4 linked regions of the Arabidopsis thaliana genome follow. The protein of the gene in region 3 interacts with the protein of the main gene of each other region in a biochemical or structural test. Each region holds a gene or a part of one and is shown on either strand. Other genes may lie near its edges.

The links.
Region 1: the proteins of AT1G79620 (region 3) and AT2G16250 form a complex in vitro, tested with the Arabidopsis thaliana proteins (one large-scale study listed by BioGRID).
Region 2: the proteins of AT1G79620 (region 3) and AT2G45340 form a complex in vitro, tested with the Arabidopsis thaliana proteins (one large-scale study listed by BioGRID).
Region 4: the proteins of AT1G79620 (region 3) and AT5G51560 form a complex in vitro, tested with the Arabidopsis thaliana proteins (one large-scale study listed by BioGRID).

The regions. Positions count from the first base shown.
Region 1 is NC_003071.7:7,038,627-7,046,521, forward strand, and holds AT2G16250 (Leucine-rich repeat protein kinase family protein), read right to left. Parts: upstream 4,729-7,895; 5' UTR 4,308-4,728; coding exon 2,341-4,307; intron 2,050-2,340; coding exon 1,924-2,049; coding exon of another isoform or gene 1,920-1,923; exon of another isoform or gene 1,796-1,919; coding exon 1,773-1,795; exon of another isoform or gene 1,688-1,772; coding exon 1,056-1,687; downstream 1-1,055. Other genes in the region: AT2G16270 (uncharacterized protein), read right to left, coding at 7,118-7,201, 7,281-7,895.
Region 2 is NC_003071.7:18,688,602-18,696,157, reverse strand, and holds AT2G45340 (Leucine-rich repeat protein kinase family protein), read right to left. Parts: upstream 4,495-7,556; 5' UTR 4,420-4,494; coding exon 3,990-4,419; intron 3,629-3,989; coding exon 3,368-3,628; intron 3,161-3,367; coding exon 2,264-3,160; intron 2,180-2,263; coding exon 1,692-2,179; 3' UTR 1,433-1,691; downstream 1-1,432. Other genes in the region: CRR4 (Pentatricopeptide repeat (PPR) superfamily protein), read left to right, coding at 1-1,342.
Region 3 is NC_003070.9:29,955,506-29,964,624, forward strand, and holds AT1G79620 (Leucine-rich repeat protein kinase family protein), read right to left. Parts: upstream 6,801-9,119; 5' UTR 6,670-6,800; coding exon 6,561-6,669; intron 6,476-6,560; coding exon 6,352-6,475; intron 6,230-6,351; coding exon 6,158-6,229; intron 6,067-6,157; coding exon 5,992-6,066; intron 5,891-5,991; coding exon 5,819-5,890; intron 5,725-5,818; coding exon 5,563-5,724; intron 5,481-5,562; coding exon 5,406-5,480; intron 5,324-5,405; coding exon 5,252-5,323; intron 5,169-5,251; coding exon 5,097-5,168; intron 5,010-5,096; coding exon 4,941-5,009; intron 4,860-4,940; coding exon 4,785-4,859; intron 4,700-4,784; coding exon 4,628-4,699; intron 4,548-4,627; coding exon 3,859-4,547; intron 3,784-3,858; coding exon 3,631-3,783; intron 3,477-3,630; coding exon 3,337-3,476; coding exon of another isoform or gene 3,325-3,336; exon of another isoform or gene 3,241-3,324; coding exon 3,021-3,240; coding exon of another isoform or gene 2,998-3,020; exon of another isoform or gene 2,947-2,997; coding exon 2,711-2,946; coding exon of another isoform or gene 2,696-2,710; exon of another isoform or gene 2,635-2,695; coding exon 2,128-2,634; and 2 more. Other genes in the region: NHX6 (Na+/H+ antiporter 6), read right to left, coding at 1-70, 154-173, 281-343, 433-544, 633-718, 831-855, 981-1,040, 1,229-1,280 and 1 more; AT1G79630 (Protein phosphatase 2C family protein), read right to left, coding at 7,426-7,905, 8,000-8,223, 8,311-8,428, 8,515-8,943.
Region 4 is NC_003076.8:20,942,791-20,950,082, reverse strand, and holds AT5G51560 (Leucine-rich repeat protein kinase family protein), read right to left. Parts: upstream 4,408-7,292; 5' UTR 4,277-4,407; coding exon 3,838-4,276; intron 3,263-3,837; coding exon 3,002-3,262; intron 2,895-3,001; coding exon 2,034-2,894; intron 1,952-2,033; coding exon 1,470-1,951; 3' UTR 1,144-1,469; downstream 1-1,143. Other genes in the region: AT5G51570 (SPFH/Band 7/PHB domain-containing membrane-associated protein family), read right to left, coding at 1-53, 156-276, 378-572.

The sequences.
Region 1 (7,895 bases), on a different chromosome or scaffold from region 3:
TGGCAAAAATAACCCAAGAAAATAATATTCCGCTGTCCAATTTCTTATAAGATGTTTTAGTTAAATCACATATATTAAGAAACTTATGTTCTTTACAAAATATTATTTATTTATTTAAAACAATTCAACCAATCGTGGCAAATATTGCATATAACAGAAATGATTAGAAAATATGAAAATTTATTTTAAGTTTTAATATAATGGACAAAAATAAAATACATAAGAACATCTTATATATTGGGATATAGTTTAGCTATTTAATCATTCTAAGTTTCTAACCATGATAGATTTGGCAAAAGTAACTCATTAGAATTTCAATTTTTGTTTGTAATGTTGTAATTTTCAAATTAAGTTCAGTGTATGAAATAATTAAATATAATTACAGGTAACTCAGACCAAAAATCCTACAACTTCAACATTTTGGTTCATACGTATATATATTATAAGTTTACGTCTCTAAACATAATGGTTCTATGGTCTAGCGGTTAGGACATTGGACTCTGAATCCAGTAACCCGAGTTCAATTCTCGGTAGAACCTTTATTTTTACTTTTTGTCCCAATATGAATCAAAAGCTTCCCACGTGCGAATGAACTAGTCAACAATATTCACACGTACGAAATCAGATCCAACAAAAGGAAGAAGTATCTTTCCTTTCACTTTTTGTCCAAATACATATCAAAAGCTTGCCACGTGCAAATGAAATAGTCAACAAAATTCACACGTACGAAATCAGATACAAGAATAATAAGTAATGGTGGAACTGAAACAAATGTAACCCAACTTTTTTGTTTTGTTTTGTTTTCTGGTCTTTCAATAAGAAAGAAACCGAAAACAAAACCCAATCTCCAAGAATTTTACAATTTACAAAATCCACGTTTGAACCAAAAAACAAAAACAAAGAGTGAACTAACATTTCTAACTCCCACCAATCCTAAACCCAAAAACAAAACAAAAGAAAGAAAAAACAAATCCTCCTCCCATCTAACATTATGCTACCTTTGAGGACTCTCTTTGCCTCTGTTATTATCGACACAAAAGAATCGATGAAACGAATCATAAATTATCCTCTACTACTCCATAAGCAGCAGGTTCCGGTACAATCTCACTAGATTGCCGTCTTCTCGACGACGATGAATTCCCGTTGTTGTTATTGTTCCTTCCGCTACTTCCTTGCGACCCCGAGTTTCTCAAACCATTACCACCACCACCACCACCACCACCGCTTGTTGTTGCTCCCGCTTGAACAGCTGTTACATCCGACGCACTCTGCCTCCAGCTCCCAAATATAGCAGCGTTCCAAGACCCTCTCGACGAGTTTGTTCTTAACCGGGAAGAGCCTGAACCCGAGTTGGTATCTTCTCTTACTACTTTCAGTGGGTTCTCAAGTGCGTTCACAATGTGTCTCATTAATGGTCTTCTTGTTGGTTTTGGGTTTAGGCATGACTTTGCAATGATAGCCATTGCCCATACTTCTTCTAGAAGGTCTTCGTCCACCATTAATGACGGGTCTAAGATCTTGGTTACTAGTTCTTTCTCGTTTGTGCTGATGTATGGCAAAGCTTCTTCCATGTACTCTTTTGCAAGTGCGTTGTCTGGCGAGCTAATCCCGAGCTTCCCCGTTACTAGCTCAAGTAACACTTTGCCAAAGCAGTAGACATCATACGAACATATTGCATTTGTTACACCTGAAAAGAATAAACCAATCAGATGTCTATCGGTTAATCGGAGATGGTATATCCTGATGAAATTTTTATTCTCCTAAGTGTATACCTGAAGAAGATGGTTCACTCGATCTGCAAGAATAGGAAAAGAAGAGACAGCGAAGCATTAGTAGGTGCCAAGACAACATACAGAGTCATGTTAGGGAATCAAAGTAAAACAGAAAAGGACCAGAGAGTTTGTTAATGTAATAAGCACTTACTGCGGTAATCGAAGTAAACGAGAAATTCTGCTTTGATAAGCATCACCTTGAGCATATGCCTCGCTTAGGCTTCCAAGACGTACCTCAAATTTATCATCAAGAAGTATGCTACTTGCTTGTACATCCCTATTTAACATTGAACACAAACACACACATGAGTTCTCTCGCTTTTCTTCTTATCAGGCAATAGAGCATAGATCAACAAGAAGTAATTTAGGAGCAGGTGATGTCATTGGGCTTCTCCATCTATGAAACTATACACTAACAATTCTTGAATAGATCTTACTAATTATGAACATGAAAGGTTATATGATACTAAAAACAGAATCAACAAAACAACTTCCAATAGTCTTGCTATGTCAATGCTTTAAAAAATATCAAGATTATATTACGAGAAGCTGAGCAGGAGAGTAGTACCTATGAACTAGAGGCGGTGAACACTCATGATGCAAATAAGAGAGTCCCTCAGCTGCACCAAGAGCAATTTTCAACCTTGTTATCCAATCCAAAGACTTCAATCCATCACCTTCGTTTTCGGATTTCCTGAACAAAGAGCTAGCCAAATCACCGTGTCTCATAAACTTGTATACCAAGAACTTTTGGCTCTCATTCTCCAAGCAGTGTCCCAAAAAGGGAACCAGCCTCTGGTGTCCAGCCTTACTAAACAACTCCAGTTCTGATATATAGCCTTCACTTTTACCTTCCCGCACATCGATCTTTTTTATAACAACGGGTATACCATTTTCCAAGAAACCACGAAACAGATTCCCCGAATGACCACGTTTTATCAGATTAGCATCATTGAATTCCTCTGTTGCCTGAAGAAGCTGCTCATAAGAAAATGCATTTCCAAGACGTGACAAATCAAAGGTTTGTGCTCCTTTAGGTGGTTGTTGTGAAGCTTCCCCGGCAGGTTTTGGCCTGTCGTTATTTCCTCTTTGTGCCGCTCTGCGTCTATGGCGCATGCATAGAACCAGAATAATTGGCAAGATAACAAAAAGAAGAATAAAAGCAACTCCACCACCCACTGCTGCCAATATAATTACTGTTCTGCGGCTTATCCCTGAAGAAGCATTTTTCGATGTCGGTTGTGTCAAATTAGGACGTCCGAAATCATCAAAATCTAATCCTCTAGACTTATAGAATGCTGCACATATTGCTGACGGCTTCTGTCTCCTCTCATTTCGAAGGCAATTGCTTGTAACAGACACATTTTCCCCGGTCACATAATCAGGAAGCTTACCTTCGAAATAATTACCAGAGAGGTCCATTATCCTGAACCGTCTAAGAATCGGTGTGAGCTCTCCATAGAATGTGTTCGAAGAGATATCAACCATTTCAGCTATCTGGTCTGAATCATAACTAGAATATGGCAGCAGTCCTGTGAAGTTGTTCTTAGCAATGTCAAGAATCCGCAATTTTGGCAACGACCAGCACACATCAGGTAGACTACCAGAGAAACCATTTTCCCTCAAAACTAAAGTTTGCAGTTGGCTCTCAGCACTAAACAAATCTACTGGTAAAGTACCACTCAAAAGGTTATCGCCAATCGCCATTAGCTGCAACTTACTTAACTTTCTTAGCTCCTGAGGAACTGAACCAGACAATGAATTGATGCTGAGATCAAAGTCAACCAGATTGACAAGATCACCAAGCTCTGAAGGAATCGGAGACGAGAAACTATTGCTTGAAAAGTTCAGATGGATAAGCTTTGATAACGCTCCTAAACCAGGAGGGATAGGTCCAGTAAGGTAATTGGAAGAAACATCAAGAGTCAACAGATTCTTCAGAGAGCTAAAAGATTGAGGAAGAACACCAGTGAATGAGTTCCTAGAGAGATCAAGCTGTGATAGATTCAACAACTGTCCTAAACTGCTAGGAACTAAACTAGTAAGACTGTTCTGAGACAGATTCAAAGTTCTTAAACTAGTGAGATTACCAAGAGTAAAAGGAACAACACCGTTAACAGAACACGAACTAAGATCCAATACTTCCAATGCCAACAAACTAACACCAAACCACTCAGGTATAGTCCCCGGTAACGCTAACCCGGACGCGTTAAAATACGACAAACGAGTTAGATTACGAAGAGGATCAACAGAGAATTGTGGGTTTAGCTTACCAATTCTTGTTCTCCTAAACCCAGAGATATTGATCCCAATGATACTACCATTCTCACATTGTATACCTCTCCAATCAACACAAGGGTCACCTTTAATTGGCCAATCTGTTCCTCTTAACCCTAAAGAAGACCTGAGATTAAGCAAAATGAGTTTCTCACTGAATCGACTCTGTGTTTGACCAACAACAACACAGTCGAAGAACAGTACCAAACACAACAACAACAAGACAAAACCCAATGCGCTTCTTCTTTGATCAACCATTGCTTATCAAACTCAATCCAATGACCCATCAACACTCATCACCCAAACCCAGAGAGAGACAGAGACTATTTTTTTCAGGATTTAAGCAAAATACCCAATTCAACAACCCTAATAAAAATAACGTCTTTCGATCTTTAGAGAGGAAGAAAGAGACAGATATCGAACTGGGTTTGCTCTGTTACTGGATCCAATTACAGCTCCTACCTTCACAGACATTAAAGCACCTCTCTTTCTCTTTCTCTCTCTCTCTCTAAATCCTAATTTATGAGAAGAAAAAGTAGAAATTTTTCACTAATCCTTAAAATCAGACAAAACAAAAAGTGATTTGTTGAGTGAAAAAAATCTTTAGAGAGAGAAAGAAAGAAGAAGAAGAAGAAGATCGAGATTGTTGAGATAACAACTGTAGACTGTGACACTCCTCTCTCTCTCGTCTTTGCAAGAAACTTCGAAATTAATTTATTATTAATTACAAATCTGATTAATTAATAATTTTGAAATTAGATTAAATTAAAACCTAGTGTGGGGTAAAGTGACGTCGTTTTAATGTTTGGTTTGACTTTCCCGGTAATCCCGCCATAAGCCAGCTAAGCTGTTGCCGCAATTACTATTTGGGATTTTTTCTTTCCTTCTTTCCTGTTTTATTATTGTTGTAAATTTAATGTTCGGATATATAAGGAGTAATATATCTCACGTCCTATATTCACCATTCTTGGCCGAATAAAGGAATCTTTTTCTTTTCTTGCTAAAATTTTCTAAATACTCTGAATTTTTTGGTTCGAATGGTAACGGCAATCAGAATAGATAAATTCATCGATAATATAAGTGTGTTTTATTTTCAAGTAGATAATAAATCGTTGTGGATCAATCTTATTTGTATGTAAAAATGGTTTATGATTGGTTTACGGCAGTTTTCTTAGTATATATTATTATAGATTCTAATTTATGATTGGTAAATTAAAAGCGGTTTAATCTGCATAGTATTTGTCCGTCTCAACCGCTGTAATCATTTGCATTTTAAACAATTTATTACAACATATAATCATATACAGTACAATAGAAAATTATCAACTAGAAAAACATGTGAAATGTTGGCAACTTTCTTTCAAAATATTGGATGAAATATTTATCGGTTATAGGATTTTGTAAAGATGTTGAAGTATTCTTTTTAAAAAACAATGATATTGAATTTTCTAGCTTTTTTGATATGATCCAAAAATTTGATATATGTTTAGTTTAAAATTGATAGAAACAAATTCTCTATTGTAGAATGTTCAATTTAAACAATGCCAATCGAATGAAAATATTTAGTTTTTTTATTTAATTTTACTTGAAAAATGAATGATTATGTTAGTTCAAAGTCTCACTATGGTTTATTTAGAAAATAGTGATTAAGTAGACATTAATAGAGATGAATTTTTCTTGAGCTAAAAATTTCTCAAAAGTTTTCTCAAAATATATGAACAAGTGATGTGAAATTTTCTTAAACTGTTTATTAATTTTCATATGCTACAGTTGCGTATATGATTTTATTAATCGTTCCAATTACTGTTATTTCCATAGAAAAGTTTTCTCTAACCTCGAGCTAGTTAAGTCATAATTGAGGATATTTGTTCGGGAAGAAAAAGCAATGAACTATTCATCTTTCGTCGGATAACAAATTTACATCACTACCTAATTTTTGTTACATATCCCGCATCGCTATTAAATAAATCCAACGTGTCCGAAAGTACAAATGTTGTTTGTATCTGTGTTTTCCAGTTCAAGATCATATAACTAACACATGTCCTCTTCGTGAGACCCCACACATACAAAATAAGCCGTCAAATCTAAACCATCGGATCAGAGCAAGATTATTTCGATTCTGGTGACGTGGCACAAATCATGCGTCCAAGAGAGTGTTTTGGTCACAGTTCTAATCATATTTCTGAATGCATGTTAAGCACCGAATCAACGTAACCATGGTTTCGCGCTTCTATATAGAACCGTCGTCGTCATCATCTTCCTCAAATCTTTGGACGTGGCTTATGCAGACAACGAGTATCGATGCTTCGTCGGAGGTTTAGCTTGGGCCACCGATGAACAGTCTATAGAGAGGTGTTTCAACGAGTTTGGTGAAGTTTTCGACTCCAAGGTCCGTTAAAGTGTGACTCTGTTTTTGTGTTGCTCTGTTTCTCTCTTTGTATCATAAAAATCTCGACTTTATATGGTTTATGGATTGGATCAGATCATCATTGATCGTGAGACCGGGAGGTCTAAGGGGTTTAGATTTGTGACTTTTAAAGATGAGGATTCCATGAGGACTGCGATCGATAGAATGAATGGTCAAGAACTTGATGGTCGTAACATTACTGTTAACTAGGCTCAGGCTCGTGGTAGTGGTACTCGCGGTGGTATGGTTGGTGGTTACGGAAGTGGTGGTTACAGAGGTAGACGTGATCAAGGTGGTTACAACCGTGGCGGTGGAGGTGGATACGGTGGTGGTTATGGAGGTGATCGTCGTGAAGGTGGTTATGGAGACGGAGGTTACGGTGGTCAGGGGCGATCTGAAGGAGGAAGCTGGAGAAATTGAGTCTTGTGATGTTTAGTCTCATGCTTTGTTACCAAAAAAAAAAAAAAAGTCTCATGCTTTTGTTTCTTCTTTTACTTTAAACGACTGAGACTGACACAAAGAAACAAACTTTGGATTGAATCACAACTAGTTTGGTACAAATCAGAAGATTTTAAGGAGTCATAAAGCTAATTCTAATTCTTAGGAAACTAAAAAGATTGCATAGTGATGCAATGATTGAAATGAAATGTCTATCTCTTTATCATAGACCAGAACCAGAAGGTTTGTTGTTCTTAATCCGGCTTGAACGTCTCACTGGTGTAATCATCTCCTCTTCTTCTCTACCCTGTGAATATATAAAATGGGTTAGTACTAAAACGATGCAAAACGTGTACTTTACGTGATCATTGATTGATGGTACTCACACTTTTGATGGGTATCTTCTCGTATGTTGTGAAACTTCCGTAAGAAAAAGAGCCAATGGAGTATTCTGATGCTGAAGATGCCATTGATTCTCTCCTCAACTTGCTGCTACTGCTATTGTTGTTATTCTTCTTGCCTCCTTTGCTTTGAGGTTCTTTGTGGCATGAGCTCTTCTTTTGGAAACTGTTACTCATTTTGTCATCAACTTCTTCCTCAAAATTCAGTGAAAAGAGCTTCTCTTTCACCAGATTCTCTTCTGGCACATGACTCAAGTTTAGCTCCATGTTACTCTCAGGGGCTGGTTTAGTAGCAGCCACGAGTTTTGTCTTCTTAGCGAATACGAAAGAAGCCACTGCGAGTAGAACCAGCACCGTGGAGGACAATACTATCATCAACTTGGTGGAATCATTATACGCCTTATTAGAAGACCTTACTTTAAGATGAAGATCATCACTAGTTTCTGCTGCAATTTCTCCAAAACCTTCTTCTGATCCACTTTCAGCATCACCTTTGGCTAAATCATTATAAGACCCTACTTCAAGATGAAGAAGATCACCAATTTCTCCAAAACTTTCTTCTGATCCACTTTCAGCAACAAGTATCTCACTCTCTATGTG
Region 2 (7,556 bases), on a different chromosome or scaffold from region 3:
GAAATGTGGTTGTTTAGGTTTATCACGCCAGATGTTTGATAGAATGCCGAAGAGAGACTCTGTTTCTTATAATTCCATGATTGATGGGTATGTCAAATGTGGATTGATTGTATCCGCGCGTGAATTGTTCGATTTGATGCCTATGGAGATGAAGAATTTGATATCTTGGAACTCTATGATAAGTGGTTATGCTCAGACATCAGATGGAGTTGACATAGCGTCTAAACTGTTTGCTGATATGCCTGAGAAGGACTTGATTTCGTGGAACTCAATGATAGATGGATATGTAAAACACGGAAGAATCGAAGATGCTAAGGGTTTATTCGATGTGATGCCGAGAAGAGATGTAGTTACTTGGGCTACCATGATTGATGGGTATGCAAAGTTAGGTTTTGTTCATCACGCTAAGACTCTGTTTGACCAAATGCCTCATAGAGATGTTGTGGCATATAATTCTATGATGGCTGGTTATGTTCAAAACAAGTATCACATGGAAGCTCTTGAAATATTTAGTGACATGGAAAAGGAGAGTCACTTGTTACCCGATGATACGACTTTGGTAATAGTTCTGCCTGCAATTGCTCAGCTTGGCCGATTATCCAAAGCCATAGATATGCATTTGTACATCGTGGAGAAACAATTCTATCTAGGTGGAAAACTCGGTGTTGCTCTCATTGATATGTATTCGAAATGCGGAAGCATACAACACGCCATGTTGGTTTTCGAGGGAATCGAAAACAAAAGCATTGATCACTGGAATGCTATGATTGGTGGGCTCGCTATTCATGGTCTAGGGGAATCTGCATTCGATATGCTCTTGCAGATTGAGAGACTCTCTTTAAAACCAGACGATATCACCTTTGTTGGCGTTTTAAATGCTTGCAGCCACTCTGGGTTAGTAAAGGAAGGCCTTCTCTGCTTTGAGCTCATGAGGAGAAAACACAAGATAGAACCAAGATTGCAACACTATGGTTGTATGGTAGACATACTATCGAGATCCGGAAGTATAGAGCTAGCCAAAAACTTAATAGAGGAAATGCCTGTTGAGCCAAATGATGTCATATGGAGAACGTTTCTCACCGCTTGTAGTCACCACAAGGAGTTTGAAACGGGAGAGCTTGTCGCAAAACACCTTATTTTGCAGGCTGGATATAACCCGAGCTCATATGTGCTACTCTCTAACATGTATGCTAGTTTTGGAATGTGGAAGGATGTTCGTAGAGTTAGAACGATGATGAAGGAAAGAAAGATAGAGAAAATTCCTGGTTGTAGTTGGATTGAGCTCGATGGAAGAGTCCATGAGTTCTTTGTAGATAGCATTGAAGTTTCCAGTACATTGTAGATAAAACGAATGTGCAGCAATATATTTTCAAGGGCTTAAACCTATTCTGCAATTCCTTGGCATACATGAAGACAATGTCACATGGTTGGTTTTGTGCAGCTAAGATATGTCTGGAAAAAAACTTCCCACAAGATCACTTAAAACGTCTGAAAAGTGATTGTTTTTACAGCCTAAGTACATCAGCTACAGTTACAAGGAGATAAGATTGTTACATCATGAACCGAGTTTTTCGGATCCCCTATACTGAACCTAAAACAGAGTTAACATCAGGGGAATGGTGATAGTCTGAAACCTTGGTATGCTTTATATTCTTGGACTATCAAAAGCAAGAATCATGTTAAACGGGAAACTAATAATCCGCGGCGAGATTATTCAGTTCTTGGATAACATCTTCCATGGATGGTCTTTGGTTTGAGGATTCATGAGTGCAGAGAAGACCAAGTCTAGCGAGCTGAGCCGCTTCTACTTCCGGGAAGTTCTTTCGAAGATTTGGATCCATGAAGTCTTCATTCAGTCTTCCTGACTCTACAGCTTGTAAGATCATCAAATGGCTGATTTTGCTTTTACCACTCAGTATCTGCAACAGAATCATACCAAATGCATAAACATCGCTCTTATCAGTGAACCTCCCTGTAGTTATGTACTCAGGAGCTAAGTATCCCATTGCCGCACTTGCTTTGAGCTTCGAGAAAACGATATCATCTGTGAAAAGCTTGTGAAGACCGGAATCTGCAAGAGAAGGATTATACCAGTGATCAATGAGAATCTTCTCTGCAGATAGATTCTGGTGAACTATTGCAGGTTTGTTCCCATTTTCTCCATGCAAGTACACAATCCCTGAAAGGAAGAAAAAAAAGAAATCAGATTTCACATACAAAAAACCGAGTTTAGTTTACGAAAGAATGAATAGCAGAATCCAACCTCTGGCGATTCCGTTTATGATGGAAACTCGAGTTGCCCATTCAAGAACCTCTCCAGTCTCATCCTTCACATCAAGATACTGCAAAAGATTACCATTGGGAACAAACTCATAGATAAGGAAACATTCTCCACGTCCTTTCGAGCAGCAGAATCCTCTCAACCTCGCTAAATTCTCATGCTTCAACAGTGTCAGCATCTTCAACCCTTTGAGAAACTCGGATTCATCGGATTTACAGCTCGATTTAGCTATACATTTGATAGCTGCAACAGAACCATCTCTAAGGATACCTTTATAAACTGAAGAGACATTACTCTTCCCCAACAAGTTAATCTCAGAGAAGCTCTGAGTAGCTCTCTCAATCTCCTCAAGATTGAACATAAAGCTCTCAAAGACTTCTTGAGACAATGCACTGTTGTTGTTACTGCTCTGTCCTCGTCCTAACGGATCCCAACCACTTGCGTACTCTAAGCTGATCAATGGAGAAGAGCTTTTTCTTCTAGAAACTTCTTTGAAGTTGTACTCAGTACTAATCCTACCGTCCATTGCATCAAGACTGCTTCCAATCTTCTGTTTCCTTCGTCTGTACCATGTGAATGTTGAACCGCCAAAGATTGCAACTGCGAGGATTGATCCTATTAGACCCATGACGATTCCTAAAGGTGAAGACTTTAAGGATTTTGATGAACACCCGCCATTGTTGTTACTGCAATTGCTTCGTTGTAAATCTGCTGATTCTGGTTTCACGTCAACTGTTGTGAAATTCGTTGGGTTTGTTGGGTCTGGTCGGTTAGGGTTCGGACCGTTTAAGCCGGTGCAAGCTTTCAAATCAGTGAAACCATCTCCGCATAAACCGTGATTGTTTGAATACTGGAATCCATTGTTTAGCCTCTTCAAAGCTTCATAATTCATAAAAATCAAGAAACAAACAAGTCAGCAAAACATCTTTAATGTGGTTGTAAAAACCGGTTTAGAATTGATATGGTTTAAGTTCTCCACGATCCGGTTTTGGATTGGTTCCCGGTTCTGTTTAATCGGATTGGTCAACACTGAACCGGTTTAGAATCTGAAGAATTTATGAATCTTGAGGGAAAATAAATTATTACCAGAGGGAACGAAGCCGGAGAAGGAGTTATTACGAATGTCGAGAACTTCAAGCAAAGGAGCACCGGCGAGTTTCACCGGAACAGGACCAAAGAGGTTGTTGAAGCTCAAATCAAGCCTCGTTAACGTATCAATATCGCCTAAACTCGCCGGAATGGCGCCGGAGAGTTGGTTATACTGTAAAGCCAAGACAGTTATCTTCTTAAGAGAACCAAACTGTGTCGGTATACTTCCACTTAACTTGTTGTAACATAACTGTATAACTGCAAAAAAAAAAAAAAAAGTGTTATGAATATATAGATGCAATTATATTTGCCCTTATTTTTGTTGAGTTTTACATTTTAGTTTCAAAACCCCAAATAAAATTGTTTTTGAGTTTTGCATAAAAAAGAGTGAAAGATGAAGGAGACAATAGAGAGTATCCCTAGTTTCTAGGAGACTCAAAAATCTAAAAACTTGAATGGATGATTAAAAAAAAAAACTAAAATCTACACCATTCAAGACCTAAACTCTTTTTAGCTAAGTTTTAATAAACCAAATTTGACCCGCTTAAGGTGTTTTAGCTGCAATAAATGAATTATAGTGAGTGAGGTTAACAAAGAACACATGCATAAATAGACCGACCTTGAAGATTGTCTAAGTTCCCGATTAGAGGAGGGATTTCACCGGAGAGATTGTTGACATTGAGGTATAAATCGGTGAGGAGAGGCAGATTTGAGATATCTTTAGGAATATGACCGGTCAAGGAGTTGAAGTGAAGGTATAAACCGGTTAAGCTTGTGAGAAGACCGATTGAAGGAGGGATAGTTCCAGTGAGACCCATTCCTTGAAGAGAGATGTTAGCAACACGGCGGTTTCCGTCGCACGCGACACCGTCGAAGGAGCCAGAGGAGCAAGGGTCGGCGTCGGGAGTCCATGAAGTGAGGAAACGTTTTTCAGGGTCGAGAGAGGATTTGATATCGAGGAGAATGTCGAGCTCTGAGGAGGAGGAAGACAGTGCAGAAGAAAGGAAGAAGAAGAAGAGGATGAGAAAGAGTGTGAGTGGAGAGACCATGTTTGGTTGGAGAGAAGAGAGAGAGAGAGATGAGGAAGAAAATGAAAATGACTCTCTCTTGTGGTTTTGAAGAAAAAATCTTGTCCATTGTATTTATAAAATAGTAGTTCTTGATTGTTAATACTAAGAAAAGCTTAAACCACAAAAGTATAGATATCGTGAACATAATAATAATAAAAAGTTAGTTCAACTATGAAAATGTAAAATGATAACATAGAGAACTATATAGATCACAACTCTAATTTTTTAATATATAAATGTATATAGACTAATCTCCAATGTAAGTTATTGCAATGTATTAAGACATTCATATAGTAGCTAACTATACATAATTGTTATTGCAATGAAAGTATTTGAACCATAGTCCATATGTTACTCTTATGATAATTTTAAACCACTTGACTTTTTATCACTTTTTAATTACACATATTACTGATCAAAATCAACAGTAAATTTTTTTAACTACAATATTTTGATTGTTTGTTCATGTTACATCAAGTATTCTACATGTATAGTTTCACATTTTGAGTGGATTGTTTTTGATTGATTAGTATATATATATAAGTTTATTTGGAAATTGAAGGAAAACAAAAGACTCATGAAAATTGAAAACATTGAAGTCCACGAGTTCATTTCATTTTCTGTACTTTATACGGTAAAGATTACTTTTAAAGTCTTTTCAGAGGAAAACAATAATAGTTAGGCGAATCTTAGCTTTTTTTCAAAATTGAAAATGATACCATTCTCCCTGGATTTAATGGTAAGAAAAGTTGTTTCTTTTTCAGTGCACCAGCTATAAAATTGTACTTTTTATATCATTTGTTTTTAACTTTTCATATATCCATAAATGTTGGATATATGTTTTCTTATAAATTTCTATTAATTAGCGAATTCATAACTTATTAATGACCATATTTACTGAAAAACATCAAAATTGTGAGGTTGGGATTTTAGTTAGAAAAGAACTATATTTGACTAAATCAAACCTCGAGTTTATCCGATCATCATCAGTAAACACCCTTAGATATTACATGTACAAATAACCTGATAACAAGCTTTATATGTTCACATGGAGAATAAGGTACAAAGATAAATGGGATCTTCTTGATATTATTCCATTAAATTACTATATTTGATGCAAATAATTGTTCCATGAATAACAAAAAAAAGGGTAGCTAATATTTTATATTATATAAGAACAAATTAAAAGGTAAAAAAGGCATCCAAGAGGCATGGGGCTAAGAGTACATCAAATGGGACAAAGAAGATGATGGAGGCAAGTCAATAGTAGCAACATGTGAACATTTTTCTAACACAATTAATAAACAAATTTACGTAAAATTTTACAAACATGTGAACTTGTCTTGAGTTAATGTTTTTGCTATCTTCTATATCTGATCATAGCAAAAGGTAAAATGGACCAACACCTCGCTCTCCTCTAAGTGTAACATGTGAATTTACAGAAACAAGAAAGACATAAAGCAAGAGAATAAAGCAAAAGGCTAAGGTCTACTTAAAAGATATTCCGTTTTCTCTGTAATTTTCTTACTTCGTGGGTAGTGGTGGATGATATTTTTGGTGGATGATAGATGTGTGTGTATTTCATTATCTATTTATAGAATGAAATTATTATTTGAGTGAGAAAATGAGAATTTTCAGAAAGAAAGTGTCCATGATAACTTAATTAGTGCAGTCAAATCTCTATATGATGATGACATTGTGTTAATTAGACAATATTAATTTGAGTTCCTAAGTTGATTGAATATGATTTTACTTTACTTTTAAACTATAGTAATAGTACGTAGAACTCATTTGAAAGTAATAGTTTATGACCAATTAATTAGCCGATACACAGTACATCTAAGTGGTAAATTTTATAGAATTACATCACTAGTTCATCTCTTTTGATTTGTTATAAGATGAAACAGTAGTGTGATATCATTTAAAGTCACGCCTTATATTTGGCTTCGTCTCTAGAGAAATCCATCCCTCACACGTTATCTAACCCAGCCTGTCCCATTTTTGTTTGAATGCATGAGTACGATGTTTCGTATATTGTTACAAAAACTTCAAAAATTTATCAATAATCATTATAATTGTATGTTGGTACTTGGTAGGCACCGCATTTTACTGATTATCATCCATGTTTTGTTTTTGAGCAAAACTATGTATCTTGTTTTGCTATATATCGTGTCTAATTGTGAGTGGTAATATTAGTCTTTTTATTATTATACATAATTTTGTTTTGCTTCTCGTAAATTTAGACGTTGAAAATCGAACTTATGTGTGTTCGATGTGTTCTTTGATTTATTACATCTAAAATTGGTCCAAACGCTATATGTCATATAGGCGTGCAAATTAATTATGATATGCTATCAAACGCGTACATTTTCAAATGCATCAAATCTTTAATTATATGATTATACTGTACTAGTTTAGTTGTTTCGTCGTCACATATATCAAATTTTCGATTCGCATTTGTGTTAATTAGTTAAACTATTTATAACTACAGTAAATAAGACTTTTTTTTGTCATATTCAGAAAATGATAAGCTCGCCACTTCAAAAAATTCCACCAGCTGAAAAGATCATATTTCAAATTCAGAGAATTCAAATATATAAAAAAATAAATTCTTCTGTCTCACCTAACACGGGAAGACAAAACGAAGTAGTGTCCATGATAGAAAACAGAAGACAGTATATAAGCTCATGATTACAAATATACAAAAATTTGTGAAGAACAATAATTGTTAATCAAATTCTTTTGTGAAAAACTTATATGCTTGTGTCAAGCATCATATGAAAATAAGATAAGTATTTGATTATTGTGTAAATAATTTCAACTCTTCATATAGTTGACAACTGTATGCCATTTCCGTATAGTTCGTCACTCGATTCATTGGTTTCTAATGATAGACCATAATGTTCCACCTCAATCAATACGATTTAGTATAAAATATTATACATCAAATGTATCACATTTCTTAGAGAAAAAATTACAAGGTCTTTTCATGTGCTTTATTTATTTATATTGAATTGACTAGGAAACAGTATAAGAAAAAAATGATATGAAATGTCTGCATCACAGAAACCGAGTTTTGTTGGAGACCACAAGAAACCAAGCAAGTCGAAGACAAA
Region 3 (9,119 bases):
TTCGAGAAACCTGACTATCACCATAAAGAAATTCTGTCCAGAGGAATGACTTCTCACCAAGGACATTGTCCTGCATCCCAGTTTATAGCCTTGTTAAAATACCTTACCATCTGACTATCGTGTTTCAAACCCTATTTTGAATTACTAACAGACCTGTACAGAGATATCGCCATCTGCCAAAAGCAACATAGGAAAGAGAAAGACCTGATAAGTAATGTGACAATTTCATCCTAATATATACATATAAGGAACCAGAATTCACTTAGCAAAAACTACTTACAGCATCATTTAAAACTGATTCTCCAAACACCAGGGCATACAAATTTACATCTGAACCAAGTTCCTGTAAAAAAACACAGTAGTAAGAAGCGGTTGAAAACTACTACTATTCAAAAATAGTGGATATCCCCGTAAAGCAGTGAAAGAAAGTACCTGAAATATCGACAATACAGTGACAGGATCAGTGGCTGAGATAAGAGAGCCAAACATGAGACACTCGACGAATGGAAGTCTGTACATGAGAAACATCACACCGCCAAGGTACCTTCAGAAGAAAAAAGAAATTATGAATAATGGAAAGGCAACCTTTTCCGTCAACAAACATTAGCCATTCACAGTAAAGAGATACTTACACAAGCAATCCAGTAACCATGGAAGCTACAAAAGTTCCAAGCACTGAAAAAGTGACAATGGCTCCAAAGTTTGAGAAGAAAGGTTTCTGCATAAAACCCAACAACAACGTAAGCATCATCAAGAACTTAAAAGCGAGGATGCGATCTTTGATGGTAAAACAAGAAAAGCAATAAAGACATGAGGGTCTCTGCACTTACAGGTTGTAAACTGAAGCCTGACTGGGTGCAAACAAGTACGTCAAGGAAAACAACATATTTTGTTGCCTAGTTGAGATTCATTGAAAAGATTATGTTACACAGAGGCGTAAGTAAAACTAAAGGCAGATACAAACTCGATTTTAAGGATATAATATGATGGGAGGCAGCAGAAACAGAAAGAAGAACTCATCGTGGAAATTGAACCATGTCCTGCAGAAGAAACAAAATAGATTAGCATTGAAGAACACTTACACACATATAAACATGTATTCGTGTATGTAATCAGTGAGTAATTTACAATCGTTTGAGTTTCCAGGTCAATGGAGGAAAGGACATAAAAATAGTAATAAATAATTGAGAAAATACTAAAAAAACTGATGAGAAAAAGTTCAACGAACCTTATGCTAGTCTCCGTGTTCGAGATGTTCGCTAAACCACCAACGATCAGCCCTACAATTCCACAAATTTCACAAGGAATCAAACAAAACAATCGATGGAAAACGAAAAGGACGATCGCAATGCAAAGGAGGAGTAAGAAGAAGACAAACCAATTAGAAGAGAAGCACTAGCTTCAGGTAGATAATAGAACTTATGACGGCGAAGGACATGACCGAGTACAAAAGAGAGGACAAGCATCATGATCTGAAGCAAAATCCCGACTCCGGCGGCTTGCTGCTGCTTCTCTTGACCTTGCGGGTCGTGAATCGCCGGCGAAATCTGCAGCTCCGACGACATTACGCCTCGACGGATTTAAAAAAAAAACTAGGGTTTCTATCAGTGTTACTTCGTCTTCTTCGTCTTTGTTCACACAGAGAGAGAGAAATTCACGAAACGGGAACTCGTGAGATAGACTTCTTCTTCTTCTTCCTTTCCGAGGACGCATTTTGCTTTTTATAGGAATCTGCGTCCCCACTGCTTCTCAGGTGGCTTTCCGTTTTGGGCTTTTATGGGCCTAATAATATCAACTACTCTGATTTACTTGAGCCCAATTACTAATAAACACGATTACTAAAAACATGGGCTAAATGTGTATATGTCCAGTGGCAGTGGTGGCTCATGTTAATACGCTACCGTTTTTGGGCTGAAAAGGCAAATGACGTCTATACATGGACAGTTTACAGTTCTAATTTATTTGGCCCAACTACTAAGATTTTCTTTTAGTAATCACGATTTACTAATGGGCCTAGCCTCACAGTGTTTCAGGTCAACAATACTCGCACAAGTTTTCATCAATATGACTTTTCCATTCATTCATACAAAAAGTAACGACAAATAATCTCACAAGAGATGTTGATATTTACTTGGGCTCAATTTTGGTCGGAACAGAGTAGCCACCACTATAATCAAACGCTCCGCCTCCATCTCCGTCTCTTGCTTCTTTCTTCTTCAAAGTACCTCCGTACAAAAGCTTCTCACCAAAATCTGTAGCGGATGACGACGCAGATGCAGAGGAGCTACTACTCGCCCCACTATTCTGGATGATAATCTCAATCTCCTTGACCACTTCACTCATCGTTGGCCTCTCATCTGCCGTCTCATCTACGCATTTCAGGGCTAGTTCCATATACCGGCCGAGCTCTGGCAGAGTTCCGACGTCTCTTAACGAACGATCCATCTTATCTCTCAGTCCGTAGAAGTCATCGTCGCTCTTGTTCATTACAAGCTTGATCTCTCTAACAATGTACTTGCCTTTCTCTATCGGCTGTTTCGCTGTGATCAGCTCCATCATTACAACACCGAAGCTGTACACATCACTCTTCTCTGTAAGTTTCTGTGTTGTGTAGTACTCTGGGTCCAAATATCCCTGCCATTGAATCATCAGAAACAAAAGTTCCTAAAAATTGAAAGCAATATGACTCGTTGATTTATCTAAAACTTACCAATGTTCCTTTAACTTGTGTTGAAACATGGCCTTTGGTGCAGTCTGAAACCAGCTTGGACAAACCAAAATCAGCAACCTTGGCTGTCAGATTCTCATCCAAAAGAATGTTAGTTGATTTCACGTCCCTGTGGATGATCGGAGGATCCGCCAGTTCATGGAGGTATGCGAGTCCTCTTGCCGATCCTAGAGCCACTCTCAGCCTTCTTTTCCAATCCAGCGTAATTCCGGATCGCCCTAAAAACAATACGTAATGGTCAAGTTTTGTGTTTGTGATTTATTGAGCACCTAAAGGCCAGATTTTTCAGTACCGGTTAAGCTATCTTTTAGTGATCCGTTGGACATGTATTCGTAGACTAGAATCTGCTCGCCTTGCTCGAAGCAGAACCCGACAAGCCCAACTAGGTTCTTGTGATGAACTCGAGAAAGCAACTCAATCTCTGTTTTGAACTCGAGCCCTCCTTGTGTTGATCCTTGTTGTGCTCTTTTGATCGCCACCATGTGCCCATCTTGAAGCATTCCTTTATACACCTGCGGAGATTACAGAGAGAAACAGAGGAGCGTTACTTGTCAAACCCTGAAAGTGAAGCCCTAGATAGTTTCAAGATCGATCTTTCAAAAACCCACCTTTCCATAACCTCCATAACCCAGCTCACTGCTCACAGAGAAATTGTTCGTGATCTTCTTGAGTTCTTCGTAGGAGAACCATCGTGCCCCTTTCAGCTGCGGTGCGCCACCGCTGTCTTTTCCACTTGATGCCCATGAAACTGAGTGAATCAAAATATCATTGTCAGTCTTCTACTTAACAGTAAATCTATCATGTAAGTTAATGTAGAGTTTCTTTTTTTTCAGGTGAACCTCAGAGAATCTAAAATGGTAGTGTTTCTAAGATAACTTCACCTGTTAGAACATCGGACTTACCAAATGGTCTACTCAAACCGATAGCTTGCTCTGCACGTCTCTTCTGCCACATTGCGTATATTCCTAACGCAACAAGGCACAGGACCAAAGCACTGCAACCAGTTATTATCCCAGTGACCATCCGAGAGCTCAAGGAATGTCCGTTACCATCAGCTGCCAAAAATTATTCGATTGTTAGACGATGTGTTTAACTCCAAAAAGGTGTATAAGCTTCGTATGTAATGTTACCTGGGAATGTGTAGGGAGATGCAATGAAGTAGTAAGGTCCAAACAAAGGAGGAGGTTTATATGTTTGGTTACTCAAGTCAAATCCAATTCTCTGAACTTCAGTTCTGTTAAAATACTTGCCCATAGGTGGGAAAAGTGCCAACTGTATCTGAAGATAATCATCATTGTTGAAGAAAGGGTTTTGTAGAGAGACCGAGCCTGGAGTGAGTCCTAATTTCACCCACAAGCTCATCTCCAAAGAATGGTATGTGTTCACATTGGACAGGTCTCTGAACATAGGCCCTCGGAAGTAGAGTGTGCCTTCATAAGGGTAGGCGCATTCACAGCTCTGAGGGCTGACCTTTTGGTCTAATGGACAAGACTTTCCTCCACAGTTAGCAAGACTGGTCGAGTATATTCGTTTGACTTGTTGCTGCTGAATCTGACAGTAGTTTGTGTTGGAGAGAGCTGTTGTGCATACAGGATTTCCTTCGAGTCTGCAACAAGAGAGAGCTTCTTTAATAGGTTGATATAGACAGTTTGATTGAACATTTAAGAAGAAAGAAGCTATGTACATTAATGTATTGGTATATCCAGAGCTTAGTGTTACAGAGGATATGTCGTTGTCTTGTAGATCAACAAGTTGGAGCTCTGGACCTACTGTGTCTCCCAAGCTCAGTGTTCCATTGAATGCGTTCTTCTTCAGTCTCCTGTGCAAATCCAATTCAGCAATTAGATGATGTCTAAAGCTGTAACCAAATTTCAGTGGAGACTAAAAGCTGAAACTTACACTTGTTGAAGCTGTGGGAACCCAAAGAGCTTATTAGGTAGTGGTCCTTGAAGAGATCCATATTCCATCACACTAAATACAAGAAAATAGTAACATATTTAGAGAGCTCCCATATGTGAATGTTCTGATTTGTAAACTGTAGCAGAGCAGCACTTACAGTGTGGTCAGTGAAGGTAAGGTTGAGAACCAGAGAGGAGACTCTGATGGATCAAATGAGTTATTGCTGAGATCTCTGTAACAGACATCACATTTAATCAGAGAACACAAACGCATAAATGTAGATAAAGACGTTCTCTGTTGGTGAGAAATTTACACGTAGTTCATGGACTTCATGTCTGACAAATCTGGTAATGATCCAACGAGCTTGTTGTGAGCTAAGTTCCTGAGAGACAGAAAAAAAGATGTATACATTCATAAGTGATGTCTAATATGATCTATATAGTAATATCATAACTCTGGCAACACTTACAGTTCAATGATGTTTGTGAGATTACTGAGATTCTCTGGAACTTTTCCGGTCAAAGTGTTTCTGTCAAGCCGACTGTTGCAAATACAAGAGTTATATCTTTTTGAAGATAGGGAAGATACATGAAACTAAGGACATAGTGATGATATGTTACTCACAGAACCTCTAGTGTCTGAATGAGTCCTAAAGTGGAAGGTATGCTTCCTGTGAATCGATTTCCATCGAATAATCTAATATTGAAATAAATCTGTTGCGATGAGTTACCGTAAGCTTGACAAATATGTAATATTATTAGAAGTGTATTTGACTTACACATGGATCAGTATCATCTCAGAGCTGAAAAGTTTTGGTGGAATGGTCCCAGAGAGCTGATTCTTGTTGAAATGACTGCAGTTTTTATAACATTTGCATCAGAAGAAAGGTACTTGAAGCTGAAGAAGATGTCTGCAGAGAAAATAAAATTACTCACAAGTGTTTGGCTTTCAAAAGAAGATCAAGACCAGGACTTGAGCCTGATGAAATTGGAATGGGTCCTGTCAACTGATTATCCGCAAGATCCAGCCAATAAACCTTAGTGAGATTTCCTAGAGACGCCGGGATTTTACCCGTGAAGTTGTTCGAGTTCAAGGCCCTGAGAAAACATGGTGGAACCAAAGTGGCAAGTCTCATCAAACATGAGTTGGTTTGAGGACAATATCAAACACTGCAAAATGCTATTTTCTTACAAGAAAGATAGATCTTTGAGATAGCCAAGCTCATTTGGGATGGTACCAGTGAAGCCACAACCAGCAAGAATACTGAAAAGACCAATACAACTGTTTAGATATGTACACAAGGAAGAGAAAGAACAAGAACTACGAGATCACTTTTAGCTTGTTTGCGCGGGAGAGATTCTTACAGGATATTTAGCTTTTGCAGGTCTCCTAACCGAGAAGTAAGTGAACCTGTTAGTCCTCGATTAAAGGAAAGATCCCTGAAACAACACAAAGTCGCCAATTCAGGTCAGAAAAAAAAGAAGATGTTTTTCTCTTGTATTCATCGATGATTCATCTAAAGAGACTGACAATGATCTTAGTTCAGCTAGTTCTCCAATATCTCCACTAAGTCTTCCTTTGAGACCCATTGTTGACAAACCCCTGAACACAAAAGACTTGCTTGCTCAGTACGTTACCAAAATTAGTAAGAGAAGTGCTCTAATTTTTTGTTCTTTTTCACACATGTGTACAGAAACACGAGTGAATGATTAAGGAACACTCACAAAGCAGTGATTCTGGAGTTATTGCAAGATACACCTTCCCAAGGAGTTCCACAAGGATCATCAGAACCTCCCCAACTAGGCGGCGTATTGTCCCATTGATCCATCAAAGAACGCAGAGCCGCCGCTAATAAAAGGCAACAAAACAAGTAAATTACAATCATTTCCACGAACGTATTCAACGCAAGGAAAAAACATAAGTCATCACATACCATCACGAGGATCAGTCACTGATGAAATCATTGAGAAGACAGTGAATGAGTAAGCAAAACAGATCAAGAGCAACCGCGATGTAGCGGTTACGGTGTTGGAACCCACCATATTGTTCCTCAAGAGACATGAGTTCTTGAAGTTTGATATTTAAGTGAAATCATAGAGAAAGAAGAAACAGATTAAAGTAGCTTCCTTATGAGACAAGATTCATAATTGTCTCATCAAAAAAAATGTGTACTGAGAATTGTGCCAATAGGAACACGAGTGACACCAAGAAAAGTTGGTTTCAATCAATTTTCCTTCTCTTCGAAGTCAATTTAACGGTTCATGTGTCTTTTTTTCAAAGCACTTTAGTTATTAAAGCACTTGAGTGTTACATCTCCAAATAAGGAGAAAATAATTTCTTTCAAATAGCCACTACAAAATTAATGATGTAAACTTAGGTTACCGTTAAGCTCTGTTTTGTAATCAAAGCAACCTTCTTTGATCATTATGCTGAGAATAGACAGAGAATATAGTGGAACCCATAAAAAAAAAAGTTCCCAAAAACCCAACCATCTCCAAAAACAAAAATAAATAATTAAAACGTAAAAGCCACTTCCTTCAATTTCCAAGTGTCTAACATGTAGTAATAAGAGTTAATTAAATATAAAGACAGAGAGTATCCAAGAAAAGATCCAATTCACTATGATCTTTATCTACAGCTAACATGACCAATCTCTCACATGTCTGAAAGACTAATTTAAACAAGAAAGATTATATATCTGCAAATCACTTCCAAGAGAAGAAGAAAAAAAGTTGGAACATCGTGATATGAAGTGTTTTTGTCGGCATTAACTTAGAATCACTTAAGTCAAAAAAAAGTCACAACCATTTTCTCCAACTAGTTGATCTGAGCTCACCAGATAAAAACCTTGGAATGCTCAAGAGACTGTTAACCCTCGTCAATCCTTCCAAAGCAGACCACTCTTCATCATCTTGTGCAACCGAGATACATTCCGCAAGTGTCATTGTCATCATTTTCGACTCAATCCCGCAACTCTCAGGGATTTTCTCGTCTTTAACGGGGACAATCTCATCCTCCTCCTTGCTTGTGCTGTTAGTGACACTCTCTATAGACTCTTCTTTGGGTGAATCCTTCTTTACATTGGTTGAGACTTCCATGGCTACTGATGAATCTTGTAGAAAGAGACAGACTACTGTACAGTCATCGTTCTTGGAAGTTGGGTACTTGATTCTCCATGATCGTACCGCTGTGTCCACTAGAGCTCGAGCCGCTGTGCTTCTACTAGGAGCTGAGGCAACGATATCAACAGCTTCTTTGTTCGACAACACATCCCATACCTTTAATACAATTCAGAAAACACAACATTTTTCAGCTCTAAAGATTTGGAAAATGTTTGCAATTTAGTGGCTAGTAACTGAAGATTTAATTTACCCCGTCGCTAGCAAGAATAATGAATTGGTCTCGTTCCGTTAGGCGGCGATAGTTGATATCTGGAACAGAGATTAATCCGTAATCTTTGAGACAAAAGTCTCCAAAAGCTCGAGCCATTGCTAAACCAGGTGAATCACTGTTTGGTAACCATACACGAGCTACCTCAGGCTCGTCTTGCAATGCAAAGACTCTTCCTTTACATTTCTGGATTCTCGCTGATTCACCTGACAGTACACATAGAAAGCGAAAGTTGAGAAACTTTTGCCTCTGGCTTCTCTCAGAGTTTAATATCATGGTTTGTAATAAAGTACCTGGCAAATCCGGTTTTAAGTCTATAGTTAATTGTACAGCGAGCAAAGCATTGTCTTCGTCTCTTGTGGCAAGAACGGCTCTCGAGTCACCAATATTTCCAACCACCAAATCCTCACCCTAAAAGAAATCATTATGAACAATTACAGCAATTAATATACAATCGATGATGGTCTTTTGGTTACAAGCAGATCTAAGCTGAGAACCTGCTTGATCAAAGTGACTGAAGTTGTTCCGCTGCAGAAGCAATCAATAGTTGGATGCATTTTCAGCTCTTTATCTATCTGCTGACAAGACTTGAGCATCGCATGTTTAAGAGGCAGATACATCTCCGGAAGTTCATCGTTGTTCACATTTGGATTTAACTCACACCATTGCTCATCCATAGTAGTAACAGACTCAGTTTTCTGCACTTGTTCAGACTCAGTTGTCTGCACTTCTTCTTCCTCTGTACATTTGATCTGAAAACCATTGGCACCAACTAAGCTGCTTTGATCTGACTCTGAGGTCATTTTCAACTGGGTTAAGAGTGTGAAGGGCAATGTATCTCGGACTTTCTTGGCAACCATATGACCAAATGGTCCATGTCCATCGAATACACCACAAAACACTGTATCGTCTCTCGAACAAAAGTTCTGGAAAGTGAAGTAGTTTTCATAAGTTAGAAACTTGTCTTGATATGTGAATGTAACACAAAAGGAAGTAAGCAGAAATAGAATCTAAGTGTCAAGTAACTAGTGGTCCCTGTAGAAACAGGTCAAAGACTCAAGACAGCACAAGAACAACACAAATGGCAAAACAAAGCCACCTC
Region 4 (7,292 bases), on a different chromosome or scaffold from region 3:
CTTTTGTTCAAAAAGAGCATCAAGCGTCATCATTGGGACCAAAGCCCTAACCACTATGATTCAAAAAACAAACATACAAGAACAAATCAAGAATCAAAACAGAGCTTCTTCAAACAAAGAAACAAAAAACATCAACAGAGAAGCAAAAAAATTACCATCAAAGACATAAGCTTGGATCTGCTCTTTAGGGTTTTGAAGCTCATAAAACGCATCATCAGCACTAGCTTTCACTACACGATACTGAATCGAACAAACCAGCTGCACAAACACATTATCCTACAAACAACAACGACAATAAGCCTAATTTACATGAATCTCACCACATACAGTATTAACCAAAATTCGCAAAGGATCAAAAGGAATAAGTGATCACGAACCTTAGTTTTGGTTTCAATTTTGACATCAAGAGATTTGATCCTAGTGGAGAGAACTCCGGCGAGCCATTGACCGGCGAGAGGGTTGAAGAAATGACATCCCGGTTCAGCTATATGCTCGAATCGACCCCAACGTTCGACCACACCAACGCTAGCTTGTTCAATACAACCTCCTAAGATACAATACGTATTACCCATTTTTACGCAGCACTCTCAAGCTTTCGAAGAAGAAGAAGAAGAAGAAGAAGTCTCGCTTATAAATCTCCACGACTCGTTCGTTTCTATGGAAACAAATGGTGTTATGTGATCGAAGCCTTTTGCTACCGTTAGATCAAGCGGTTTGAGGAGAAATGGACGGTTAGGATTAGTTACTGATTAATTAGCTATATCAACAATATCTTCCTTCCTTAGATATTTGGTATAATCCTTTTTTGACCAATGAAAAGTATAATTTGATATTTTTTTCTGTCTTTTGTGGACAACTAATAATTTAATTTATTTCTTTCAAATAACTCAAGTAATTCTAAAAATTTACTAGGTCCAAAATCTAATCCTGAAGTCTAGAAAAATCATGTAAATTATTCGAATCTGGTGGCCAATGCTAATAGTTAACCTTTGACTTTATATTTATAAATTTGTATCTAGATCTAGATGACTAATAAAGACTTAAAAGTTAAAGCTCATATCCAAATCTAAATCAAAACCATCTAACAAATCAATTCTTTTGATATTGATTTGATCAATATCAGAAAAAAAAATGTTATACGTTATTTTTTTTCTATATTGAATTATTGACAATAAATTGGTTCAGAAAGTTATAAAAAAAAAAGAAGACAAAGTACCATAAATATTTTCCATCTACCGAAATTTTTTAAAAGTAATGTACTTGTCTTGTCTTCTTCTAAGGTTGAAGAGCTTAACATAAACACAAATCATACAAACCAATAAAGTACAACACGTTGAACAGTTTTTAAACGTTAATGGGAAGGGAAAAGGCACCTTTTTCTTAACCCTAAACACAGGAAAAGGTGACTAACAAACCCTTCCTTAATTGATTCCTAAGGTACACATTACACATTTGCCTCGAGAGAGTTCTCAGAGACAGCTACTACAGTTACCTAGCTCATGAACTACAGCTTCCACGGATGGTCTTTCAATGGGAGATTCATGAGTGCATAGCCACGCGATTCTAGCTAGCTTTGTGGCTTCATATTCAAAGAATCTTCCTTGAAGATTTGGATCTATGTAATCATTGAACCTACAAGCTTCAGTTCCAAGCTTAACAAGATGCCTAACCTTCTGTTTCCCGGAGATTATCTGAAACACAAGAATCCCGAAAGCGTAGACATCGGTTTTCTCGGTGAAACGTCCGGTTGTGGTGTATTCTGGAGCGAGGTAGCCCATTGCTGCACTGTCTTTGAGTGCAGAGAAGACAATGTCGTTTGTGAGAAGTGTGTGGAGGCCTGAGTTTGAGAGTAGAGGACTGTATCGCTGGTCGATTAGAACTTTCTCCGCTGAGATGTTTTGGTGAACCAATGCTGGCTTGCTTCCTTTGTATGAATGTAGATAAGCAATCCCTAAACACAAAACATCAAACACATAAACAAAAATGAATCAAGAACGCTAACAAAATTGGTTCGGCATAAATAAAACTCATACCTTTTGCGATGCCTTTAGCAATGGATACTCTCGTGGACCAATCAAGAACATGCGCATCACCATCTTTGAGATCAAGATAGCTCAGTAAATTTCCATTAGGAGCAAAATCATAGATGAGAAAACATTCTCCACGGCCTCTTGAACAGCAGAAGCCTCTAAGTTTTGACAAGTTTTCATGTTTCAGAGACGCCAACATGTTGAGTCCTTTCAAGAACTCAGGTTCTTCAGATTTGCAACTTGTTTTACTAAACCGTTTGATCGCTACAGCAGAACCATCTCTCAAGATTCCTTTGTAAGTCGCAGAGAAGTTGCTTCTTCCAAGCAAATTCACTTCTGAGAAATACTGTGTAGCAGTTTCAACCTCTTCAAGATTGAATCGAAAGCTCTGGATAACTTCTTGAGCAAAGACACTGAGATTCCTATTGTCTGAAAGTGGATCCCAACCATTAGTATATTCAAGACTGGCCAATGGAGAACCATTGTTCTTCCTAAAACCTCCTCCTACGGTGTTGAGACGGTTGTCCGACATTTCATAAGTGGTTGAAAGCTTCTGTTTGCGTCTGCGATAATGCGTGAACAAGAGGATGCTAATAGCAGACAATGCAATAGTCGAGACAACCAAACCAATAAGGATTGCACCTTGGTGAGATTTTGGAGGAGTATTACAGTTTGTTCCATTACAAGGTGACCGTAGATTAGCTGATTCTGGTATATCCCGGGATGGAAAACCAAACACGGTTGCACCGTATGGCTTAGGTTCCTCAGGAGCTGTGCCATTGCAAGATTTCAACGGCGAGAACTCAGCTCCACATAGTCCCAAGTTGTTTTCAAACGAAAAACCTTCATTTAATCTCTTCAGTACTGTCAAATCGGTACAACAGAGAAAGAAATATAAACCAAAATGAGAAACACTTCACAAAATACGCAAAGTTAGTTTCAAAGATCATATAGTGAATCAGTTTTCTAACCAGGAGGTACATTGCCAGTGAGGGAGTTGTTGCGGATGTCGAGAACTCGAAGCAGAGGAGGGCTAGCTAACTTGCCTGGTACAGAACCAAACAAATGATTGTAGCTCAAATCTAGCCGCTCTAGAGCACTTAAATCTCCTAAACTCGCAGGTATAGCTCCAGTGAGTTTGTTAGATTGAAGAGCAAGAACACTCAGCTTCCTCAGTGAACTAAGCTCCCTAGGAATGCTTCCAGTCAAATTGTTGTAACAGAGCTGCAAAACTACACAACAACATAGACCAAAAAAGGAATGAAGCTTAGCTTTGACTTACATTAACTTAGAACTAATTCTAGATTTAGAAACCTGGTCCTGCTAATTAAAGCTCAAATATAAAGCCTTTTGAAAGTAAGTGAATCAATTATCTAAATAAACAAAATTAATCAAGAGAAGTACAAGTTATCTTCAATTCAAGTCCATATTTTGGGACCAGTAAGCCATTTATGGTTCCAATTAAAAGTTTGAATCTTAAAAAGTTCTTGACTATTCTTCCTTACAGGAAAATTACAAAAAGAAAAATCCTAACAAAAAGACATGAAAAGGACGTTTTAAAGACAGATCATTAAAGCATTAAATTCCAAAATCATCTAATTCAAATAATTTCAACTACCAGAGATAGTAATGAAGTAACTAAAACCCCTAAGACAAGGAGCTCAGATTTCTAGGTTTCAAATCTCCACAGAACATTGATTAATCTTGGGACAAGAATTTTGCAGAAACCAAAGATCTAACAATGCTAAATTTAGGTTTTAAGTTTAATCAATGATTAAGATTAAAATTAAAGTAAAAAAGAACTAACCTTGCAAGCCTTGCATCTTCCCAATGTTTGAAGGAATCTCACCGGAGAGATTATTAACATTGAGATAAAGATCCGTAAGTTCCGACAAGTTACCAAGTTCTCTAGGAATATCTCCAACAAGAGCATTGTAGTGCAAGAACAAACCCGTCAAATGTTTAAGCTTTCCAATGTTCGGAGAGATTTTACCAGATAAGCCTTTCCCTTGTAGAGATATGTTAGAAACTCGTCCTTTCCAGTCACAACCAACACCTTCAAAGTCTTTACACAGATCTCCATTAACACTCCATGAAGCTAAGTGTTTGTCTTCTGGGTCAAGCTCTGTTTTAACCTCCATCAATGTCGCTAACTCGTCGGTGATTTCTGCCATGACTTGGTTGCTGAAGTGAAGGAAGAGAAGTGGAAGAAGAAGAAGATGAAGCAGCATTTGTGTCGCCGTCATTTTATTTCTAGGGTTTGGTTTTGAGCTTGAAGATAGCAGCTTCAGAAAGCTAAAGGAGATGTGAAGAAAGAATTAAAGGTTCAGTTTTTCAAGAAGAGGAGAGAGAAGATAAAGACACAGAGATGTCGCATGCTTTTGTTCCATTCAGACAAAAGAAAAAAAAAAGTGTTTGTGTTTTGGAGATACCAGAGATGGTTTAAATCTGATCGTTCGATGTTTTTGTGTTTGATATGAATCGTTGGATCTCTTGGGATGTTTTTAGTTATGGTGAGTTGGTTTTTATGTTATCTTATCTCGTTGATGTTGGTCCACTCTGACTAGAGCAATGCATGTTCTCTTTTTTTTTCTCCTTAGTTTATATATATTTCAAATTCTATTTCTTACAACATTTGTAATAGAATTTTCAAAATTTATTATGAAGAATTTGTTGTACTTGTACATACGAATTTTCTACAGTAAGTCTATAAATTGTATTATGATCCAACTTTTGATATCTTTTGTAATCGTAAATAATTTAGCTAAAAATGGTAAACAAGAAAAATGAAGGTCAAAACAAAAAGATCCCACATAGATTTTGGGAAAGTGGAAAAGCTCTTCTAAATAAGGCAATCATTCAATTATGCTGCGATGAAGCTAGGAGGAATATGACCTAATGACCATTATATTTTGGACACACTAAAATGTTCTAATTTGCCCCAATAGCCGTTGTTTTAATTGGTTAGGCTACTTATTTTTGAATACTAATAATCACAGCTAGATTTTATATTTAACCAAATATAGTCATATAATCCTAAATGTAGTTAAAGACAATCCTAAATTATATTTTAACCAACACACAATCGCAAATATAGTCGTGTAATCCTTAATGCAGATATAAAAAATCAATTTAACTTAAGATGCTAATAACATATTTATAAAAAAAATATAACAAGTCTGAATCTTATATACACAAAAAGAGATGTGTCGATGGAGTTGGGAGACAATTTGTAAATTGAAAGCACAAGCAATGCAATGCAATCTATTAATCTAATAAGTGACTGGGCGACGAATTCGGAATGGAAATCATGTTCTCTAAATTGGGCTTTAAACAATATTGCGTGAAGCAAGAATAATAAATTTGGGCTTTAGAAAATTGCTAAAAGGCCCATTATCAAATACCCAAAAAAAAACTAGTTTCTGTGTCGGAATTGTATTGAGCTACCGTCTACCGATCATGGCATACCGCATACTTATCTTAAATTATTAAAATTGCCTGTCATTATTCAGTCATGACTAAAATATATAAAAGAGAGCAGAGATTCATCGTAGTAAAAAAAAATAACGACCCAAAAATTATTTTACATGCTTTATGTGACTTTCTCATTCCTTAATGATTACACATAAATCCCTGAATTCATTTTATCTCTTATGCTATCATGAAGTCATGAACTATAGAGACGGTTAACGAATTTGCATTCTACCATATTACTGAAGTGATGCAACATGCACGCACTTTAAATATAAATTTGCATGCAGAGAAACTATAAAAGGAAAATTGGCTTGAATTACTTAACATGAATGAAACTAAAAATATTAACGAGGTTCGATTATTTTGATTTTCACACTAAATTTCAAACTATATATTAAATTGAAGTCATTGAAGGTTATATATATGTGAAGTTGTTTTGAATCTTAACGCTTAAATAGTCATTTCGGATTGTGATCCCACTAAAAACACTCATTCAGGATTATGAGATTATCTAATAGTACTACAATTCTTCGTGAGCAAAAGAGAAGATCCTAAAAATAATGTTTGCGTTTTCACTTTTCACTCGTTTTCACCGAAGCTGTAATAATCACTCGACACTCATGTGGGTCACGACTCGGTCACCTTAAATTATTGATCCCAACATTTACGACATAAGTTCAGAATAAATAGCAACGACATAAAAATTCATTCTCGACTCTTGGGTTTGGGTAAAACAATATCAATAGAAAATACAAACTTCATCATCGCATCCACGATTCTAACTTAGATAACAAGAATCGCATCCCAATTAACTGTGGTGAAAAACGAGATTCCTGTTCACTGTCACTTAAAATACAGGTCACTAATCATCGAACTGAAAATAAACAATCATGCATGTTTGTGAAAACGTGAAAAAATTTCCACTGTCAAGAAAGTCATCGCACCTTACAAAATAATTAAATTCACCACTAAAGTCTACAAAAGAACATTATGAAACGAATTAAATGCAACACGACCAAAACTAACGATGGGCCTCACCATTCACCGGAGCGTACACTTCACACGCGGTCTAGGGAGTTAAAAAAAGTCCCGCAAAATTCACGCGACGTCTGTCTCTTTCACACTCAGATGACGTGTCATTTAAAACAAGGAGTCAACACTGCCAGGTCAGCGTATAAATCCACATATATGCCAGGTGTTGCCTGTCTGGCGTCAGTGGTTGTCCTTCAGTGTCACCGTAACGTCAGTGTAACAAGTGAGACCCACCAATAGCCAAAAAATAAACTTTTAGTGGCCCATTTTAGCAGAGAGCTTTCAATCTCAGCTGTACGATTCTGCTTGCTGACTAGTATATAATTAAATTTTATTTGGATTTTGTTTTGTAATATTTTTACAAAACAACATTTTCGTTTTTTTTATAAGTGTTTTGTAAAAATATTTAAAAAGTGTTCACATCAATATATACATTGACAAGAGAGCCGCGCAATTCGCTCCGCGATTGAGACGGGCCCATCCTCCTTATCCTTCCCAGGTTTTGTTTTGTTTACTTCTCATTTTTTTTCTCTTTGTTTTTGGATAATTATAAAATGTATCTAAAATCTAAATTTAGTTTTCGATAACTGGTTTAGTGGAACTATGCTGACGAGGACAAACGAACAGCTATTATCCGATATTTTATCTTTTTATCGTTTTTTTTTGGGAATGATACTTTGTATGGTGAAGAGTAAAATATAAAACGAAATTCTAAATATTCTCATTGGAACCTTCAAATGCGAATTATGGGAAATA